Coturnix japonica: one gene and its partners. The protein of the gene in region 1 interacts with the protein of each later gene in a pairwise test. Links are inferred from orthologs where the notes say so. Each region holds a gene or a part of one and is shown in the gene's direction. Other genes may lie near its edges. The genes, in order: EPAS1, ARNTL2 and ARNTL.

What was found.
Region 2: the proteins of EPAS1 (region 1) and ARNTL2 interact in binary tests that used the Homo sapiens proteins (3 or more experiments, as listed by UniProt). The link is inferred for Coturnix japonica from reciprocal best matches to the Homo sapiens genes EPAS1 and BMAL2.
Region 3: the proteins of EPAS1 (region 1) and ARNTL interact in binary tests that used the Homo sapiens proteins (3 or more experiments, as listed by UniProt). The link is inferred for Coturnix japonica from reciprocal best matches to the Homo sapiens genes EPAS1 and BMAL1.

Annotation. Positions count from the first base shown.
Region 1 is NC_029518.1:23,770,463-23,776,994, forward strand, and holds part of EPAS1 (endothelial PAS domain-containing protein 1), read left to right. Parts: intron 1-456; coding exon 457-604; intron 605-1,355; coding exon 1,356-1,564; intron 1,565-1,890; coding exon 1,891-2,090; intron 2,091-3,083; coding exon 3,084-3,194; intron 3,195-3,373; exon of another isoform or gene 3,374-3,516; intron 3,517-4,337; coding exon 4,338-4,822; intron 4,823-5,203; coding exon 5,204-5,327; intron 5,328-5,418; coding exon 5,419-5,536; intron 5,537-5,948; coding exon 5,949-6,131; intron 6,132-6,372; exon of another isoform or gene 6,373-6,532.
Region 2 is NC_029516.1:62,644,269-62,650,800, forward strand, and holds part of ARNTL2 (aryl hydrocarbon receptor nuclear translocator-like protein 2), read left to right. Parts: intron 1-354; coding exon 355-472; intron 473-1,273; coding exon 1,274-1,417; intron 1,418-2,982; coding exon 2,983-3,223; intron 3,224-4,077; coding exon 4,078-4,184; intron 4,185-4,745; coding exon 4,746-4,896; intron 4,897-6,393; coding exon 6,394-6,449; intron 6,450-6,532. UniProt on the Homo sapiens protein: Transcriptional activator which forms a core component of the circadian clock.
Region 3 is NC_029520.1:11,894,256-11,900,787, reverse strand, and holds part of ARNTL (aryl hydrocarbon receptor nuclear translocator-like protein 1), read left to right. Parts: intron 1-1,013; 5' UTR 1,014-1,021; coding exon 1,022-1,161; intron 1,162-4,119; coding exon 4,120-4,140; intron 4,141-4,976; coding exon 4,977-5,015; intron 5,016-5,315; coding exon 5,316-5,357; intron 5,358-6,110; coding exon 6,111-6,268; intron 6,269-6,532. UniProt on the Homo sapiens protein: Transcriptional activator which forms a core component of the circadian clock.

The DNA of each region.
Region 1 (6,532 bases):
ATTTGGGAATGTAAATTGAGAGCAATTCTACTGGAACAGGAACTTTCAAGAAATATGCAGTCAGCAGACTTTACTTTTAGGGTAATTAGAATTTTGTATTAAATTCAAAAAACCTCATGCATTGATCCAAATACTCAAGACAATCTAAAGGCTTCAAATGCCAGGTGTCTTGAGTGGAGAGCTCAGCTTCACAGACTTATTTATATTGAAAATAGCTGATTTTTTTCTAGAAGTTGAGCATCACTGGCCATCCTGCTGATGGCAGGGGACTGGTTCTAAATGGATCTTTAAGATCCCTTCCTACCGAAGCCATTCTGTGATCACTGTTTACAAATGTTTTCATGCAGTTTTGCATAAAGAAAAGTTGGGAGCGGATGTATTTAAACAAGTGTTACGTATTATGCATTCTTACTTGTGCTGCTACCTCATTTTTATCTCTCTGCTCCTGTTTCTTAGTGTGTACAAAAGGTCAAGTAGTGACTGGCCAGTACCGTATGCTTGCCAAGCATGGTGGATACGTGTGGCTGGAAACTCAAGGGACCGTCATTTACAACACGCGCAACCTACAGCCTCAGTGTATCATCTGTGTCAACTATGTGCTGAGGTAAGTTGTGCAGAACAGAAAAAACACTTCTGAGTCCTTGTGCTGGAAAAAATGCAAGGATGAGAAATATTTTTGAAGGGTCTATTTATCCAGTGCTGCTATGCTGGAATCAGTTTAGTCATGTTTGTTCAATCTTGTTTACTGATGTTAGACATTGATGAAGAATGTGGCATGCCCGTTCCCATACAAGCTGTTGAATTACACCATAGCCTTTTTCTTCTACAGAGCAACTGCTCTGCTGGTGAAGCAGAACACAAGGGCTGCACTAAAGATTTTGTTGTGTAACACAACTACTGAATGCATTTTATTTTTCTAGTATTGTGACAGAAGGAAAAATTGGTAGTAAGTGTATTTGTGTTGCTAGGAAAAGCCATTTTCTTTCTCAAAAATCGGAACCACAGATCAATCTCTGTCCTGAAAAGCTCATGTATTTTTGGTCCTGGATGAGTCCTAAATAAAATACTTATTTGAGTGATAGTCTGGGTCATTGTAGCCCTGACTACATCCCTTTGAAAACCAGAGCAACAAAGCCCTAAGTACTCTCACAGAAGTCTTGACCACACTCTCCACGTCATCTGAGATTGTGGTGCTCAGCAACACTGGAACTGTGCCTTTCTTGTCAAGAGCCTGGCATTCAACTGAGAGAGACCAAAATACTGTTAGAGCAATCTTTCGAGAGTTATAATACCTGTCTTTACCACATCTTCCTTTATGGTGCTAAAAACCTAAACTCTTTCTTCTTCTTACTTAGTGAAATTGAGAAGAATGATGTTGTCTTCTCTATGGACCAAACGGAATCGCTCTTCAAGCCTCACCTGTTGACGATGAGCAGTGCCTTTGAGAATGGGATCTCAGGGAGGGATAAGAGTGACTTATTATTTACTAAGCTAAAAGAAGAACCGGAGGAACTTGCACAGCTGGCTCCAACACCTGGAGATGCCATTATTTCCCTGGATTTTGGTTAGTATTTGTGTAAATAATTTCTGTGCAACAAAGAACCACATATGAGCCTATGTTTAGAAACTTAATAGACCAGGTCTGTTTGCTGTGTGTATAAATGAGGAGTAACAGTCATAGGAGCTCATGTGCTCACATCAGCGGAAAATTTCTGTGAATGAAGGCAGAATCAGGCTTTTTTGCTGACTAAACAAGATAAAGTCTTTGCAAACTTACTTATTGTTATGGCAACTAGGATCAGAGTTTACTTTTAATAAATAGCTTTAATTATATCATAACAGGGCACAAGCTAAAAGCATCCATTAATGTTGTACTATTAACATTGTTAGAACTCCATCCAGGGATACAGAAGTTTGAGGAACCCCCTGACTATACCAGTGCTGTTTTGACACCAAACAAACCGTGGCCAGTAGAAGTGAAAAGCCATGCTGCTCAAGGTGAAACGCTGACAATGCCATCCTTTACAATGCCTCAGATTCCACCTGGCAACAGTACTCCAAGTGCAAGCAGCAACAGTAGCTGTTCCACGGTAAGAAAAGCTTTAAATAATGCGAAAGTGATGTTCTCTTTGTAAGTCCCATCAGAACATGAAGATGACATTCTCACTTTAGCACTCCTGTCTCAGTGTTTGTAACAAGCCCAGCACATCTATATCCCTACTGTATTGTGTATTTTTATCCTATGCTGTTTGTGTAGGAAAGCCCTGATAGAAAAAATGTCAGAAGGAAGCTATATCTTGCCTTTATATTGCATTCCTTGTTTTCCTCCATCTCACTAAGCAATTATGATAGTCTATAAACAAGCTAGTAGCTGAACTTGCTACCGTCTTACATGGAACTAACCTTAAGTGAAACTCCAATATTAAATGGTCTGGTCATTAGCAGAATTGCCCTCAGGCCAGTCCTCTTTCTGTTTGTTTACTAGAAACTATAGTCTTCAACAAAAAAGTTTACCCAGCTCAGGCTTTTGAGTGTAGCTTCACAGAGTTTACTGCTAAAAGAATGAGTGAGCTTTCCAGGGCACTGCCCTCATGAGCTAGAGCCACTATTATCAGAACTTTACTAGATTACTTACTAGGTTAGGACTCTACTGGATTTTGGAAACATTCAAGGTCAAGTTGGAGCAGGCTCTGAAAAACCCAATCTTGCTGTAGCTCTGTTCATTGCAGGGCTTTTAGCAGTCCCTTCTAACTTGAAACAATTTTATGTCCAATTTTATTAAAATCACTGACGTAGTGCAAAGCATTTTATTTCTTTAGATGTGTACTATTCAATTATTCTGTCATGTTATTAGTGTGATGTGCCAAAAAAAAACAAAAAACAAACAAACAAAAAAAAAACATTTAACGGGGCAACTAAGTTATTGTATTGGATGCCTGTGTTAAATCACTATGGCTCTCAATGTTTGTAGAGACAAGTAATCTGATGGTGGAGGAAATTATGTGACAGAAATGTAGTTAAGTGTGCTAAGCCAGCACTGTAGTTGTCTTGGCTGCTTATAGCCAATTGTTATTTCTGTGCAGCCAAACAGTCCAGAGGATTACTACACTTCTGTGGATGACGATCTTAAGATTGAGGTGATTGAAAAACTCTTTGCCATGGACACAGAATCAAAAAGTCAGTGCAACTCCCAGGTAAGTAAGAAGCTAATATCTCTCCCAAAACCATGAAAATTGGCCCTCCGTTAGCAGACAATAATAGAGATTCATGCAGATACAGTGTCATAACATGCACACCAAAACCATCAAACACAAGCATATGCTTTGAAAAGCTGAGGTGTCCACTTCTTTCCCTAATGATTTGAAGCAGTTACCTTGGAGGTGTCACTGTGGCAGTGCAGAAAAGAAAGAAGCAGAGCTTCAGAAACTGGGAGCTTCTGTAGACCGGATAAGGGATATAAGCAACTGCCTGTTTTTTTAATATCTTGCCGTGATGACTAATGAGTAAATGTTGTTTCTAGAACAAAACACAAATAAATTAACTCCTGTAAAACCTCAAAATGAAAAATGTTGTCAGTTAATGCCACAAGACAGGTAGACCCATGCAGCCACTTGCTCAATCCCTCCAGTAGGACAAGCAAGAGAATTAGAAGGGTAAAATTGTGCAAACTCTCCAGTTGAGATAAAGACAGCTTAGTCTGCAAAAGCAAAAGCTACACATGCAAGCAAAGCAAAATAAGGAATTCATTCACTACTTCTCATTGGCAGGCAGATGTTCAGCCATTTCCAGCACTGTTTAGTGCTCCATCACGTGTAGCAGTTTCTTGGGAACACAAACACTGTAACTGTGAATGCCTCGCAGATTCTCCTTCTTTCCCCCGCCTCTTATTGCTTAGTGTAATATCATGTGGTATGGGATGTCCTTTTGGTCATCTGGGGTCAGCTGACCTAACTGTGCTCCCTCCCAACTTCTTGTGCACCACCAGCATATTCCACTGGTGGGGCAAGGTGAGGAACAGAGAAAGGCTTGGCTCTTTGTAAGCAATAGCTAACACGTTGATCACAAGTCCAAAATATAATAGCGTATGATCTACTGTGAATAAGATTAACTCTATCTGAGCCAAAATGAGTACAACATATGTACAACTCATAGCAATAATGTTTTGTTATTTTTTATTTTAATATGGAGAAGCTGACCGCTTTCATTCACATAAATTTGGCATACAGTGATTTTTTTTTTTAGCTTCATAACTAACTCCCAACTAGTATTTCACATCACAGTGCCTCAACTATCATTAACTTTCAGGTTTCTCATGAACCTCTTTCATTTTTGTGCAGACTGATTTCAATGAACTGGACCTTGAAACCTTGGCTCCTTACATTCCTATGGATGGAGAAGATTTCCAGCTCAGCCCTATCTGCCAAGAAGAGCGTCCTCACTCTGAAAGTGCACAAAATACCCAGCAGAATCTAAGTAGCATGAGTACCATTTTCCAACCTGTTGCTTCTGCTTCACAGAATCAGTTCCTCCCAGAGAAATATTGCCCACAGCTATCAAATAAAAACATTAACCCTGGTCATGGGTCCCTATCATCTGTGTTCTTCAACAATATGAGTAGGTCATCGTTGCCACCATACCACAACCAAGCCAGCACTCCGCTGTCTTCGATGGGGGGTAGACCAAACACCCAGTGGCCACCTGATCCACCGTTAGAATATGTTCCTGCTAAATGGAGACTCATGGATAAATACTCAGGAACCCTATCAAGTTCCCCCTCAGGACCCCCAATACATTCTCCCAACATGCCCGTATATAAAAAAAGGTAAGAATTTATGTTTTCCATTGGAAAATATTTGAGCAGAAAGCAGTAGATATCTTGAATACATACAACTCGTGTTTGTGCTTAGCAAGGAGACAGGCATAGCTTTCAGAATCCTAAGATTAAAAATCTCATGACTCTTTTCCATATTATTTTTACGCTTGGCTGGAGATTTTAGAGGCTACTTATGCTAGTCTTTGATCCCCAAAGTAAAGTGTTCCCAAAGCATGTGGGATGACTAACAAAAGGAAACAAAGACATTCAACATACAGTGTCACGTGTCTAAAGGCCTCTTAAATGAAATAGACGAAAGAAGAATCTGTATAAATGAAAAAGATGGTTTAGATTTGCCTTCTTGCTCACCCAGAGATCTTTTTTCAACAGGCTGCTGGATGGTTTGGGGCAACGAGGCATAGATATAAACCCAGCAAGAATTGCTTTGTCTAATAGTTTGAAGCTGAAGCGACAGTTGGATTATGAAGAGCAGGCAATGCAACAGCTGACTGGGGTAATCATAAGAAAATGCATCCATTTCAGAATTGTGGATGTACCAAGATCATCAGTGTAATCAATTCATTTTGCTTTTCTCCAAACTGTAGGGAGACCCATCTGCCATTAACCCATCTCAGTTAATGTGGAAGAGAATGAAATTTCTCAAAGGGGAAAACTGTTCCTTGCTTACGGAGAAGAAGTCTCTCAGCACAAGTGTTCTTACTGGTAAGAGAAAAGAAATTGGTTCTGCAGTGTTAAGCTACTTTGAACTCCATCTCCCATATAGCTTACAGTTGAACAATTTATAGTATGTTTGATAGCTGCCAAGTAGATTGTTTCATATATGTCCATACCCTTACTTGGGAGGTAAATAGGGATCAGTTTAATAGAGGTAGGTTTACCTAGCGCTGATCCAATGTGTGGGCATTTAAAGCTAGAACAGATGCTTTCTTTCTACAGCACTGTTTTTCATTATTCAAAAATATCTTTAGTACAACACAACTTGCAGGTAGTACTGAATTTAGATATGCCTACATAGATTCATCGTCACACTGAGGAACAATTTGCTTCAAATTAGTATTAGCTTCTATAACAATTACAATGGCTTGATTTTTTTGTTTTCTCCTGTATGAATCAGATGAGTTTGTCTGCAACTCGAGAGGTCTGAGCCAACCAATGAATCAACTGCAGCTGCAGCAGCAACAGCAGCAACCCACCTGTGGCAGTCCTGGTGAAAATCTGAAAGCAGGAGCGTTTTCCCCTCAGTTTTACAGTCCCCATTATCAGGACTATACTGTGCAGTCAGCTCATAAAGTGTCAGGTAAGAGTTACCAAATACAGGGGCTGAAAAATGTTGGCATTTAGTTCCACTACAGATTCCATGAGAATAAAGCTTTTAACACAAAAGTAAGAGAATGTTAAACCAAGAGTCAAATGCGTGTTACACAAAATAAAAAATTAATTTGGCTATTAAAAGTTTCACATTAAACACATACATTTGTGATATATGTGAAAAAACAATTTTTTTCCCTTTGTTTCATTTCAACTAGTACCTCTGTTACCTTAGTAGTCTAGTCATCTTCCTGCATGTTCTTGTCTTGTGACAAAGGTGATTAAACTGTACTAAGCAACTTCAGTGCAGCAGTGGTAGCTCATGTTTGTGGATTACAGACCAACATCTGCCTTCTAAAAATTAATATCTGCAATGAAAGGAGATGTATG
Region 2 (6,532 bases), on another chromosome or scaffold:
CTGTGCACATAAGCTTCAGGATCAGGAATCATGTTAAGTAAACATACAAAAAAAAAAAAAAACAACCCACCTTTCTTTTTTACAACACTCAATCTTCTTGAATATGCAACTAAATAGTTTTGTTTTTTCAAAGGGAAGTTACAGCTTGTATATTTTGCTACCCTCTTTTGATAAAAATAATGTTAAGTAATGGAGAAATAAATGCAAACTGATATATAAAAGTTCATAGTAACTGTGATGTTTTACAAGGTGTTTTTTGTTTTTCAGTAGTGCAGAATGTTGTTTTTCTGAGGTCTGTAATATGAAGTGTCCTGTCCTAAAACAGTGGGGTTCTTTTTTTCTTTTTTTAAATAGACCAGTTTAATTGGACAAAGTTTGTTTGATTACTTGCATCCAAAAGATGTTGCCAAAGTTAAGGAACAACTTTCATCTTCAGATGTCTCTCCCAGAGAAAAGCTTGTAGATGGCAAAAGTAAGTCATATTTGAATGCACTCAAATTTCTTTATTTTTTTAAGATATGTTAATAAAGTCAGTTCTTATGTAGGAAATAATTGTGTGCATGGATGTACAAGCTTGAAATACAATTTACATGAAAAAACATGTTTCAGTGCTTATCCGCTGCTTATAATTCATTGCAGTTCAACAGAAAAAAAACTTATTGTAGGCAATAAGTGTGATTGAATTTAGCATTGTTGAACATTTACCAAGTTGTAGTCTGACATTCTTCCTTCCAGGCATACTACTTTTTTTTCTAGTATTTTATAGGTCTTGTCATTACAAAAGACCTGATGTAGTTGAACATGGGATAAAATACTTCAGTATCAAGAATCACTGACTTCTCTGAAAATGCTGTCAATCCTAATTTAACCAAATCTATTTACAGTTATTTCTGATATGAAAAGCATTTTGTACTCTGCAGCTAATAACTGTCTTATAGCTGGCTTTTATAGGCATCTTTGCACTTCCTCTATGTACCAAATAGAAGTTGAAAGTTGATAAAGTGTATTTATTAAAGTATGATTCAAAATGTTAAATACAGCTTAAATTCAGTTTTGTAGTTCTTTTTAAATTTGGAGTCTGTGCAGCAGCCACATTTTCTTTGCCTTGTTTAAAGTTATTAGATGTTTTTTCTTTTGTAATTATAAGGACAACATTTAGGTAACTAAACAGTAAGGAGAATATATGAGAAACTGAAGATAAGGCCTTGGGCTCAGCAGTTTTATTCTTGGATTTTTTTTGTTTTCATTAACTACTTTACTAAATTTTTATAAGCTGGCTTGCAAGTACATACAGATTTTCAAGCTGGACCAGCTCGACTGAATTCTGGTGCTCGACGATCCTTCTTCTGTCGGATAAAATGTAGTAGGACCACAGTCAAAGAAGAGAAGGAGTGCTTACCCAATCCAAAGAAGAAAGGTATTCAAACAGTGTAGCTGAAATGGGGGCTTTCTGTCTTGAAATTCAGTATATTTAAGTTCCAAGCCAGTAGTGTGATCCTTGTAATTATCGCTGATTTCACGTAATAGCTGTAGAGAAGTGTAAATATGTACTGCAGGCGTGTTCTGAAAAACAGTCTAATTGTCCTTTTCTCCTCCCTATTCACTCCTGAGAAGAGGAAGGGAGGAAGGAACCTGGGTTGCATTGTTGGTTTAGGAGACACGGTCTGTTCTAGTCAAATTTTTGAAAGCACTGGAGCAGATCAGAAGAGTTAAGATAAATAACATATGTCTTGAAGATAACTATATGAATAAGGCCTGCAAAGTCTGCTGTTTTGGAGGAAAAAAAGCAAGTAAAATCTTTATCTGATTTACGTTTTGTATTGTGTGTACTTACGAATTATACCTTTCCATTTTTGCATTTTTTTAATAGTAAAGTTAATTTATCAGTGTAATATCAGTGTTTCTCCAATGTCTTTAATTTAGTCCGTAGTTTTAATTTAGTTTGGTATACCTGTAGAGCAGTATATTCTTGGCAAGTTTTCTTTCTGATCTTGAAAGAATCTTCCTTCTTTTTTATTTTAATTTAACCTGCTGCTGTTGAGATACATCATAAAAGAACACATTCTAAAATGGGTCTGTCATTGTAAGTCAGAAGAATTCTGTCCATCTCCCTTGATGTGTCAGCTAACTTGGTGAGAGTAGAATTTATCTCTTACAAACGTGCTTTCAGGCAAGCAGCATTCAGAGAGATCGCATTAAAAGTTTGGGAAACTAGCAGTTTCAGAAGGGTAACTCAATTTTTCATTTGACAGGGTTGATTGATATTTTCCATAGTTGAGAGTTAATGCAGTCAAATCTATGTCAATCATACTTTGGTAAAATAAGATTGCTTTGCCAGTTTGGGGGGAAGACAGTAACTGTAGGATACATAATCTCTGTATGTTGAGGTTAGTGGGATATTGTATAAGTAAGTTTCTACCAGTCATAGAAAGGGATTATCGCGTATGCTTAAATTAAATGTTCTTTAATATTTATGTTCCTGTAAAAATTGAGGAATTCAGAAGTCTGAGATAAGTGGAAAGTAATTTGGGTTATTTTGGGGTGCTCTCTTCATGGATTCTTTTAGTAATTGCAGCAAAAATATGTAGAATCATAGTGTTCACTTAAGATAAACATTCTGTAGCTTCCAAATCAATTTATTTAGTTTATTGTGATTTACAACACATAAGGAAACATGTAAAGGAGAAACAGTGGGTTACTAAGCTGTTGTTCTATTGTTGGTTTTGGTTTTTTTTCCCTTTGATACTACACTGTCAATGCCTATAATTTATCTTCCCAAGTCTTACATAGGGTTAGGAGCACTCTCTTCAGGTAAGCCAAAATTAAGTAGTAAAAATTTACTTCAAAAGCACGCTGTGACATTATCCATAGCCTTTTACAGTTGTAGTAAGTATGCATAAAATAGGATTGTTGGTCTTATGGTGAAAGATTTTTTTAATTACATTTTGAACCATAATTGCTTATTTTATTTCTTTTTATTAGATCACAGAAAGTATTGTACCATTCACTGTACTGGATATATGAAGAACTGGCCTCCTAGCGAGGTGGGAGTAGAAGAGGAAAATGATGTAGAAAAGAACAGTAGTAATTTTAACTGTCTTGTTGCAATTGGGAGGTTACACCCTTACATTGTTCCACAAAAGAGTGGAGAGATAAAAGTCAAAGCAACAGAATTTGTAACACGATTTGCCATGGATGGAAAATTTGTTTATGTAGATCAGCGGTAAGTTTTCTTCTTTAACGAAGAGAAAACGACATGACTTGGTTAGGTCTTGTGAACTTTTCTGACTGAAGGGACTGCAATTTTTTTAAGCATGTTAGGATTTCGGGATGCTGAAGAGCTGTGTCATGAATCTGAGTCCTTGGACTTCATTCTGTTAAAAATAAAATATAATTTATGTAGCAAAATAAGTGTATTGTCCTTTAGGAAAGTGTAGGTTCGCAAGATGAAAATGCATCATAGGATACTCTTGTATACTATATATTAACACAATAAAAAATTTTGAGTTAGAGTAGCATAGCTATACATGTGACTTATTTGTTTATAAGTTATGCTGACAGAGAAAAAAAAAATAATAAGCCCTTCACAAAAAAATGACTGCTTATTTATATCTTAGTATTTGGAGCAAATACATTTTATCTCATCTCATATCTAAAAGTGTCGGTTCAAACTTATTCCTTAGAGCAAAATTTAACTATTATTTTTTTCAAATGACTCATTAAGTGGGTTTGGTACTTTGATTGCCTAATTGGAAGAGCTAATAATCATATGTACTTTGTGTTCATTTAAATTGTGCATACAAATGGTTTGCATTTTCAAACACTGTTATTCTGTGTTTGAATTGATACTCTTACACAGTTTTGTTATCCTGTATTATACATTGCAAACAGATCCAAGGTAAACTGCAGTCTATATTTGCTATTATTTTAGAGCTATCCTAACGCTGTATCTTTTCTTAAATGTGAAAGTAAGCATCTATTTTATTAAATATTCATTTTTTGCTTCACCTGATACTGAAGAAAACTAGCTTTGCAATTGTCTGAATCCACCGCTGTTCATCTTTTTATTTCTAACAGTGCAACAGCAATTTTAGGGTATCTGCCACAAGAGCTTCTAGGAACTTCTTGTTACGAGTACTGTCATCAAGACGATCACAATCATCTAGCTGAGAAACATAAAGAAGGTACAAAACGATTGGTTCTCCCAGGCTATATAAAATTAGAAGCTGGGAAATAACGAAGTTAAACAGTGTTAGCATTGTCCCTTTCCATGTATGCATTAAGACATGCCCTCAGAAAGTGTGTAAGAAAACCAGGGGGTTTCTTGTCTGTTGTGACGAATCTTGTCAAGGCAATCTTCGGTTGTCTTGGGTCTTGGTGCAGTGCTGGGCAATAATGCTTCTTTTGACCCCATGCCTCAGTTCTTCTTTATAAGAATAAAGGAGTCCTGAAGAGCAAATGTGCCTAAAAAGACACTGTTGATGAAACTTCACCAAATCAGGGGTCTTCCTGTTAGTTGTCTGCAGAAACTTAGTGCATGGGCTCTCATTTGAGATTAGTAGCATTGTTAAAACAGTAGTTAAATTTCATAGAAGTCTTACCTTGAATATTTTTCTGGCACTTAATTAGAATATCTGATCATCAGAAACATTTTGTTTTTATGGTACCACAAAACAGATATTTTTAGCTCAACTCTGTCCTTGGAAGTATGAATATAGTGATTGTAATTCCTCTTTCTTATCTAGTGTTGCAGAATAAAGAAAAAGTATTCACAAATTCCTACAAATTTAGAGCAAAAGATGGAAGTTTTATTACTTTAAAGAGTCAATGGTTTAGTTTCATGAATCCGTGGACCAAGGAACTGGAGTACATTGTATCAAACAACACTGTAGTATTGTAAGTAATTCATTATATGATTACCCGTGTTAGTTTTTGTCTTAATTACAGAAAAGAACCTCTTTAAGAAGCAGAACATGATTAGAAAATACCAACAGTGCATAAAGAGGTTGAGTAATATGGAAGAACATATTGCATTTGATTTGCACCAGTTGATTTTGATTTCAGGCTCAGGTAATGGATTTAACTATGAACAATGCAATTTACTAGTTGAAAATTAGATGAAAGAATTTCTTATTACAGGAAGAAAGATCTTTTAGGAAAAAAGGCACAAGTAAATGGAAAGTGATGGGTTTTTTTTTGTTTGGTTGGTTTCTTCCTTCAGAGCTTCTAAGTCTGCATGTATTAGAATAAGGAGAAGTATAACTGATAGATCATAGGAAATATAAGGCAGAACAAAAAGATACTCTCTAAATTGATTGCAAGGCAGCTGCCCACAAGACAGCAACTGAACTGTTGGAGTGTGTGTTTCATTCTTATTTTGTTACATTTTATTCCTTGTGCCTTGTAATTGAACGATAATTTGGATTGTTCCAAAGATACTGAACATTTTTCTCAACAACAGTGGTTTTTGGAGGGGGAGGAACGTGATTTTATTTCCACTAGACAAAGTGGCCTTTACCCGTTCTGTAGTTGGTTCATATCTTAAGCCAACATCACCTGTCTATTTTGCCCTTGTCCTTTTTCCCCAACAAGACAAAGAAGAGCAGTTAAAGCAGTCTGTGCTGCCAACAGCCAAAGGCCACTTTTGCCTGCCCTGGAGGTCCAGGTGTTGGGGTACTAAGCTTTCTTTGTAAGGATTTATGAGTGCATACAGTAGTTCTGAGTAGATGGAGTGTTCTAGAATAGCTGAGTTAGGCCTGTAGGTTAAGAGTTAGTGGGCGAGCGGTTTAGGTAGGTGTGTGTACAGGTTGTCTCGCGTGCATCGGGTTTTGCGTAGCGAGTGTACGCATCTGCGTGGGATTTAGGATAGTATATAAGGTGTGTGACGCAGCAATAAATTGAGAGAAGACATCATGGCGTCCATGTTTGTGTCTCTCCCCCAGACAGTTGAGGTCCCGGGATAGGTCTGGTTAATTGGCGGATACGTCAGTCCAGGCATCTGCAGCTAGAGGAGGGGAGGTAGGCAGCAGCTGCTAGTAGAAAGTAGCTGCTGATCTTTTCTATTAGCAGTTGTTTCTGATTAATGGCTCTCCCTCCTATAAGTAGATATGATAGTCTTGTTCTTGTTAGGAAACACAGATGACTATATTGGCCTTAGTTATTGATTTTGGGAATAAGTGTAAATGAGTATTTTACTCCATGCTTCAGAAATAAAAGTAGAAAGGATTGAATGTTGAAAGATGTAAGGAATGCCTAGTTTTATTACTAGATTGAGCATGTTAGTTTAGCTTTGTAAAGTACTGATTGAAATAAAATGGAAATACACTGGATTTTACCACTGAAAATGTTTCTGATTGGTTTGTTTATTTGTTTGCTTTTTTATATAAACCTTAGAGGTCACAATGAGTCTGCTGAAGAACAGGTCTCCTATGGTTCCCAGCCTGCAGAAGGCAAGTGTTGCTTCTTACAATTATCACATGAGTATCTCCTGATCAATCCTTGAAACTTTTGGTTTATTCAATTCAGGATTTTT
Region 3 (6,532 bases), on another chromosome or scaffold:
AGAACATGGTCTTCAAATGAAGGAGATAAGCGTGAAAATTGGTTTTCCTGCTAAGAAAAAGAAAGAACTCGCTCTTTACTTATGTGAGGTAGCAGCAGCTGACTGCTGGGCAGTAAACATAAGAGTAAACCTTCAGTTAAAAGCCATGTTGACAATGGGTGGGGAAGCAGGGAGGAGAGAAGCCGTTCTGCATGCCACATCTTGATGAACAAATACGGATACATCAAATGTACTTAGTGCTCGCACCTGTAAATACAAAGGAGAAGTCTTTGATGTTGGTCTTCACGTGGATGCTTGTTTCTTTTCCCTGGAGAAGGAAGGAAAAGGAACCATTTGATTCCAGGCCCAGAGTGATTCTCTTCCCCCTCTACTCTGCCATGGTGAGGCCACATCCAGAGTGCTGTGTCCATTTCTTTGCTTTCCAGTTGAAGAAAGACATGGAACTTCTGGAGGGAGTCCAGTGGAGGGCTGCAGGGATGCTTAGGGGCCTGGAGAAATCCATGTCCCTTTTGAGGAAAGGCTGAGACATCTGGGACTGTTCAGCCTGGAGCACAGGAGGTTCCATGAGCCTGAGAGGGAACTTCTATACTTTGGAGGTGACAGAGCACTGGCACATGCTGCCCAGAGAGCTTGTGGAGTCTTCTGCTTCTCTGGAGATATTAAAAACCTGCCTGAATGCTTTTCTAAGTAACCTCCTCTGGGGAACCTGCTTTAGTAGGGGGAAATTGGACTAAATGATCTCTGGGGATCCCTTCCAACCCATTATGATTCTGTGATTCTGTAGCTCATGTGGGATGTGTAGTACTGCTGAAAGAAAGAGCAATAGCCCGTGTCTGTTTATAGCAAAAGCAGATAACAGAATTGTAATTTTTGCAATTTTAAGTGTATTTAATACATTTAATAATTAAAGCTGCTCTGTGTGTGTATGCATATGTGCATTTAAAATATATAAATTGATGTTTATTAATAGAGTGACTTTTTATTCCTTTTTTTTTCTTTTTTTGTAACATTAGACAATCCAATGGCAGACCAAAGGATGGACATTTCTTCTACAATTAGTGACTTTATGTCACCAGACCCTGCTGACTTGATTTCCAGTTCCCTTAGCACTTCAGGAGTGGATTGTAATCGGAAAAGGAAGGGAAGTTCTACTGATTATCAGTGAGTTGGATTTCAGTCGATTTGATAATGTTGAAAGGCAGTTGGCAACAGAATGATATAGTTAGAGAGATGAAATAACCTTAATAACCTTTTCTTGACAACCAGTTGTTTAAAGATTGTATGAAAGAAAAATGCTACTGTGCACTAAAAGGAGAGTTCATTAGTTAGTAATAAGGCCTCCATCTCAGTGCAGCTGGAATTGAGGGCTATCGAACGAGGTAAGGCTCAGGAAAGAAACCTTTGGCTAATGAGGGGGAAAAAAAAGAACTGAATATTGATGTAATAGATGATGTGAAGTTGATTATGTTGACCGTACACATAGGAAGCTGAATGTCTGACCAGCAGGAGGGAAGCTAATAATTAATTAGAAAGGAGAAGCAAAACTAGGAATAGTTCCTTCTTTTCACCTATTTTTTGCCTTTTCAGTCATTTCCTATCAGTGTGCTGCCAAACTTTGTCTGATGGAGCTATTTTGGTCTCCCAGTTGAATATGAGTCTGAGGAGTCTCTGGTGTGCTGCAGTAGGACTGCCTTTTGTTGCATCAAGTGATTTAGTCTTGTGTTGCTCTCTGGCTGCAAACCATTATTCCTGGTAGAATAAAAAGTTGGTTTCTCGTGGATCAGTGGTAGCAAGTTTTCATTTCAAGAAAGCTGCTTCTCTTAAAGGGGTGCTTGCTAGTAACAAAGCTTGGAAGCACCATCCAAGCCATACCTTCTGTCTTAGGGCAGGCATTTGGAGCAGAAAGAAATCACACCAACTGTGCTTTAGAATGGTGAAAGCTGCAGTAATGTGTGCCACGTTTCCAGCTGTGCAGTGTCTTCAGCTCTACACCAAGACCAACATGCTTACTGTCAGTGACTACGCAAACTTCATATCAGTTGTAACTACAAAGCCTAGCTGCAGGGAAGCCTGTGGATAGGCCCCATCCATTATTAACACAGCTACGTAATCCGTTTCTATGTAACTTGGCACAGATTTTATCATTGTGGACTTTCTCACTGTTGGCAGTTCCTTCTCCATTGATCTGTGCTGAGGATGCCAATTAAGAATTAGGTTCCCTGTGCATTGAGATTATTTTTAGGAGAAGTTAGGTGCAAAACTAATTACCGTGTACAGACCACGAGTGTGCTGCATACATAGCTTCTGTAATGTAATAAAAATAAGTTTATAAATATAATAGGTGTAGCCTTCTTGAAAAGTCCATGATTCCCTCTAGTTGAATTGACTCCTACAAAATTCAGTGAAAAGCCTCAATCTTACCAACTTCCTCTTCTCTAGAAAGGATTTCTCCATCTTTATACTTGCGAGCAGGAAGCATTGCTCAAGTCCTTTTTCCCCAAAGACAGCTTGCTCTTTTAAGTTCCAATTCTGCCCTCTAGGTTGTGTGGGCATTTTATTAAATATGTGAAATGCTGTTTCCTCGAGTCAGCTTATAACAGCTGTCATTGTACCAGAGACTTTGTTGCAAAGAAAATGGTTATTAGTGAACATTCCTATTCCTAAGTAGAACTTAAGGTAGAATTCCTTGATCCCTCTTTCTATGTGTATGTATGTATAAACATTCAAGAATCGCTCCTGTTCAACTTTTGCTGCCTATGCAGATATTTGTTTTAACATAAATGGTGTCTATCCAGTGCTATGCTTCATTTATCAGTGAATTCAGGACGTGAGGAACAGCCTGACTGTTTTAGTGTGTGTTCATCTGTCAAGTACAAACAAGCTTATTGGTCAACAACAATTTCAGCTTTCCATGCCAGCTTCCTTTCAAATCTTTCTGCTGCTACTCTCCCAGTGAAATTCCTCTTCAGCATACTGCTGTAATTCCAGCTAAGGCGATCTGTTCTCTACTTCAGTGTGTTTAAGTCATGTGCTGGAATGCAGGACTTCATGCACAGATCTATAAGCACATGCTACCTTCTTTTGTTGGTAGTAGTATTTTAAGTTGAAATAGTACCGATAAGAAATGAAAGTATCCTGAAGCATTTGTAAATTACCCTGTTGCTGGTGTAGAAACCTCTTTCATATTTTGCTGTGCCACAACAAGCATCTTGTAGCTAAAGGTGGCACTAGGAGTGGAGAATTGATGCCTCATTTCTGTTACTAAAGTCCTCTGTTTCTTTGTGAGCATCAGAAGCACTTTGAACTATAATCTAAGTCAGTAACTCAAATATACAAGCGGAGAGATGAAGAATGCCTTTAGCATTATTCACACTTCTTTAAAACCTAATGACGAAGAGATTAAGAGGTGCGATGAATAATGTATAGAAAAATGCTTAAGGATGCTAATGTCCAGTTTTGAGTGGGAATAAGTAATACATCAGTGGCTAACGTGAGAAGATCCTTCATAAGGCTTTAATGAAACCTAGCTTCTCGCTATATTAAAGCTCAGTGGTATTTGTGATCGTTTTACAGACTTGAAGTGATGCCAGCAGTTAATTGCATGTAGAAATTCGTTTTAGTTTCCTTTTGATACAGTAAAATCTGTATGAAGTTCAGAATCAGGACTTGAGTACTGACTGAAACAAAACGTTCATCTGTTCTGCTGGGCAGAATCAAAAATGGAGATGGTTAAGATACATGTTGGTATCTTTTATTCCTGGCCTTGGAGTCCTCTGAAACTCCAGGCAAGGACAAGGACAGCAGGCACACAGCGCAGATCCTTTTGTTTCTGCTGACGAAACAATATCTCAGTGATGTGCATCGCAGAGATAATTTGGGATAGTTGTGGTACTGATTTTTCACATTCAGCGTAATGGACTTGATTAGCTGTAGGCAAAATGATGCCTTCAGAAAATAGATGAATTTGAACAAACTTGGCTCCTTAAAATATACTCACTGCTCACGTCTTTGTTCTTTTTCATTTTGAATAGAATGTAAATTAGCTTGAGAATTTCAACAGAAAATGAAAGACGTTATTATTTCATATAGATGGTGTACTTTATTTCTCTTTCTTTTCAGACTCGATGGCTTTCCTTTTGAGTAAGTATAAATATTTTTGTGATCGGTTTCACTTGAAACAAGATGCTTGATGTTTTTCCATGTTTCCCCTCCCCTGTGCCTAAATGTGGTGATAAAAAAAACCAAACCAGCATAAGGCAGGCTCAGGAGTGCCCATGTAAGTGAAGTGGTACAGGTTTATCTATATGAAAACATCCTCTTCCTCATTCTTTTGTCTAACAGCACTGTAATCTTTGGCATTTTTTTCAGGCACACCACTTTAAAATGTGCCTGCTTAGCTTTATACACACTCCCAAACCCCCTGTGCATTTGGCTGTTTCCAGTGCTGCAATGCATTATGTTGGTATAGATTATTGCCATCTCCTGTCCCAAAATCAAGGCACAGTGAGGTTTAGGACACGCTGACGTGAGTGAATTCAGGGTGAACTGTGCATTCTGCAGTGGGCCTTGTGATAATTGCCTGTGTTTAAATGTCTAATTGCAGTAAATGCAAGTTAGTGGCCCTCATTCTGGTGAGGGCATGAAAAAGATCTGCTTTGATAAGTCCTTTTTGCTTTTACCCCTCTTGTTAACTGAAAAACATTTTTATAGCAGATGATGTCTTTGAACTGCAGTGTGTTTTACTGTCAAACACATCAAACTGTGCCATTTTGTGTGTTTCAGAAGAAATGCAAGAAAATGTTGTAATACTACAGAAAATGCTCTTGTGTTTCCAGGTTGTTGCTTTTAAATTCTTTTTTTTTTTCCCCAGGATTTAAGGCTGACTGCAACACTTAATTCTGGTTTTATGCTGGTTTGCTAACAGCCTCGCTAATGCTGCTTAATTTGTGATATGTCGCTTCATTCTGTTTTTGCAGGGAAGGTATGGATACAGATAAAGATGACCAACATGGCAGGTACTGTAGACACGGTCCCTAAACTGTTTCACAGTACTGATGTAGGATCTGTTTGCAATGCCTTGGTCCGGTGTCTCAAGTTGTTTTGGGACAAAGGTATAAGACCATTGCATGAAGTCGAACGGTCCAAGCAAATATCCTTTGAGTCCTACCGCAATATTATTAATAATGTCATTTTCTGAGGGAAGGCTAAATAAAGATTCAAATCTTAAAACCTATTTTAATGAAGATCGTTAGGTTCATAACATATATTAGAAATTGTTTTCAGTACTGTAACTTTGTGATATCGTTTCTTAACAGACTGGACTACGCAGACCAACAAGGGAGAATAAAAAATGCAAGGTACTGCTCTCAGCAAGCATGAAAAGAGTTTGCCTTTTGGCATATACGAAATACCTGCCTGTGATTTACTCTGAGAATAACTCGTTTTCGTTATCTTTGCACTGCTAACTCTTCTCACATATGAACTACACGTAGTTTTGTGGAAGTGCTGAACATAACTTTGTTTTAGTCACTTCTGTCAGCGTTAGCATGGAAATTGGAGCCTGCACAAGTTTCTTAAATATTACATTCTTTCGAACTCAGTAGTTACAGAGTGTTAATAGCGATTCTTAAGATGTGAAAATACAGAACAAAAACAAAATAATTCAGCAGTTAGCATCAGTTTTCCCAGTTAGGGAGAGTTTAGTTCAAAATTATCTCAGATATTTCAACAGGAAAGCCGTAGGATGACTAGAAGACATACAGCTACAGCAAAAGTTAGTTTTAAATACTGCTGTGTTGATGTAGCATACTAATACAAATATGGAGTGGAATGCATTATTCAATGTACTGTATGAGCAACACAGTGTGTGTTCTCTGGTTAATAAGGGCCAAGTACTGCGGCCCTTCCTGTAGCTTGTAACTGCTATCACTCAAGTAATGAGCATATTATTCTCTGAAAAATTCTGTATGTACATTTTATGGGGCTGAGTGGGTGAATGAATTATGAGGACGCTAATTATTTTTATTATATAGGATTTGGGCATTTTTCTTTGTTAACACAGTTCATTTTCTCACACTCTTCTGTTTTTCCTTCCCACCTTGCTTGTTCAGGGAGGCTCATAGTCAAATTGAAAAAAGGCGTAGAGATAAAATGAACAGTTTTATAGATGAACTGGCATCCTTGGTACCAACGTGCAACGCTATGTCTCGAAAGCTGGATAAACTCACTGTACTGAGGATGGCAGTCCAGCATATGAAAACATTACGTGGTAAGTAGATCAGTGGGAGCAGAGAGAACTGGGGTTGGAGGGTGATAAAGTAGGGTTTACCCAAAACAGTCCGTGTTTTTACTCTCCATTTCTTGCCATTTTGACAAAAGGGAGTAACTCTGGTCTTGTCTGGTGTGGTTTTACTTGGGGAATTTCAAGGGCTTTTATTTAAGGGAATGAAAGAACTTGTGGTTGGCAAATTCACCTGAGTAGCCTAAAATCAGCCATGTTTTTAAGTGTGGGGGGGGATGTGTAACCTTGCAG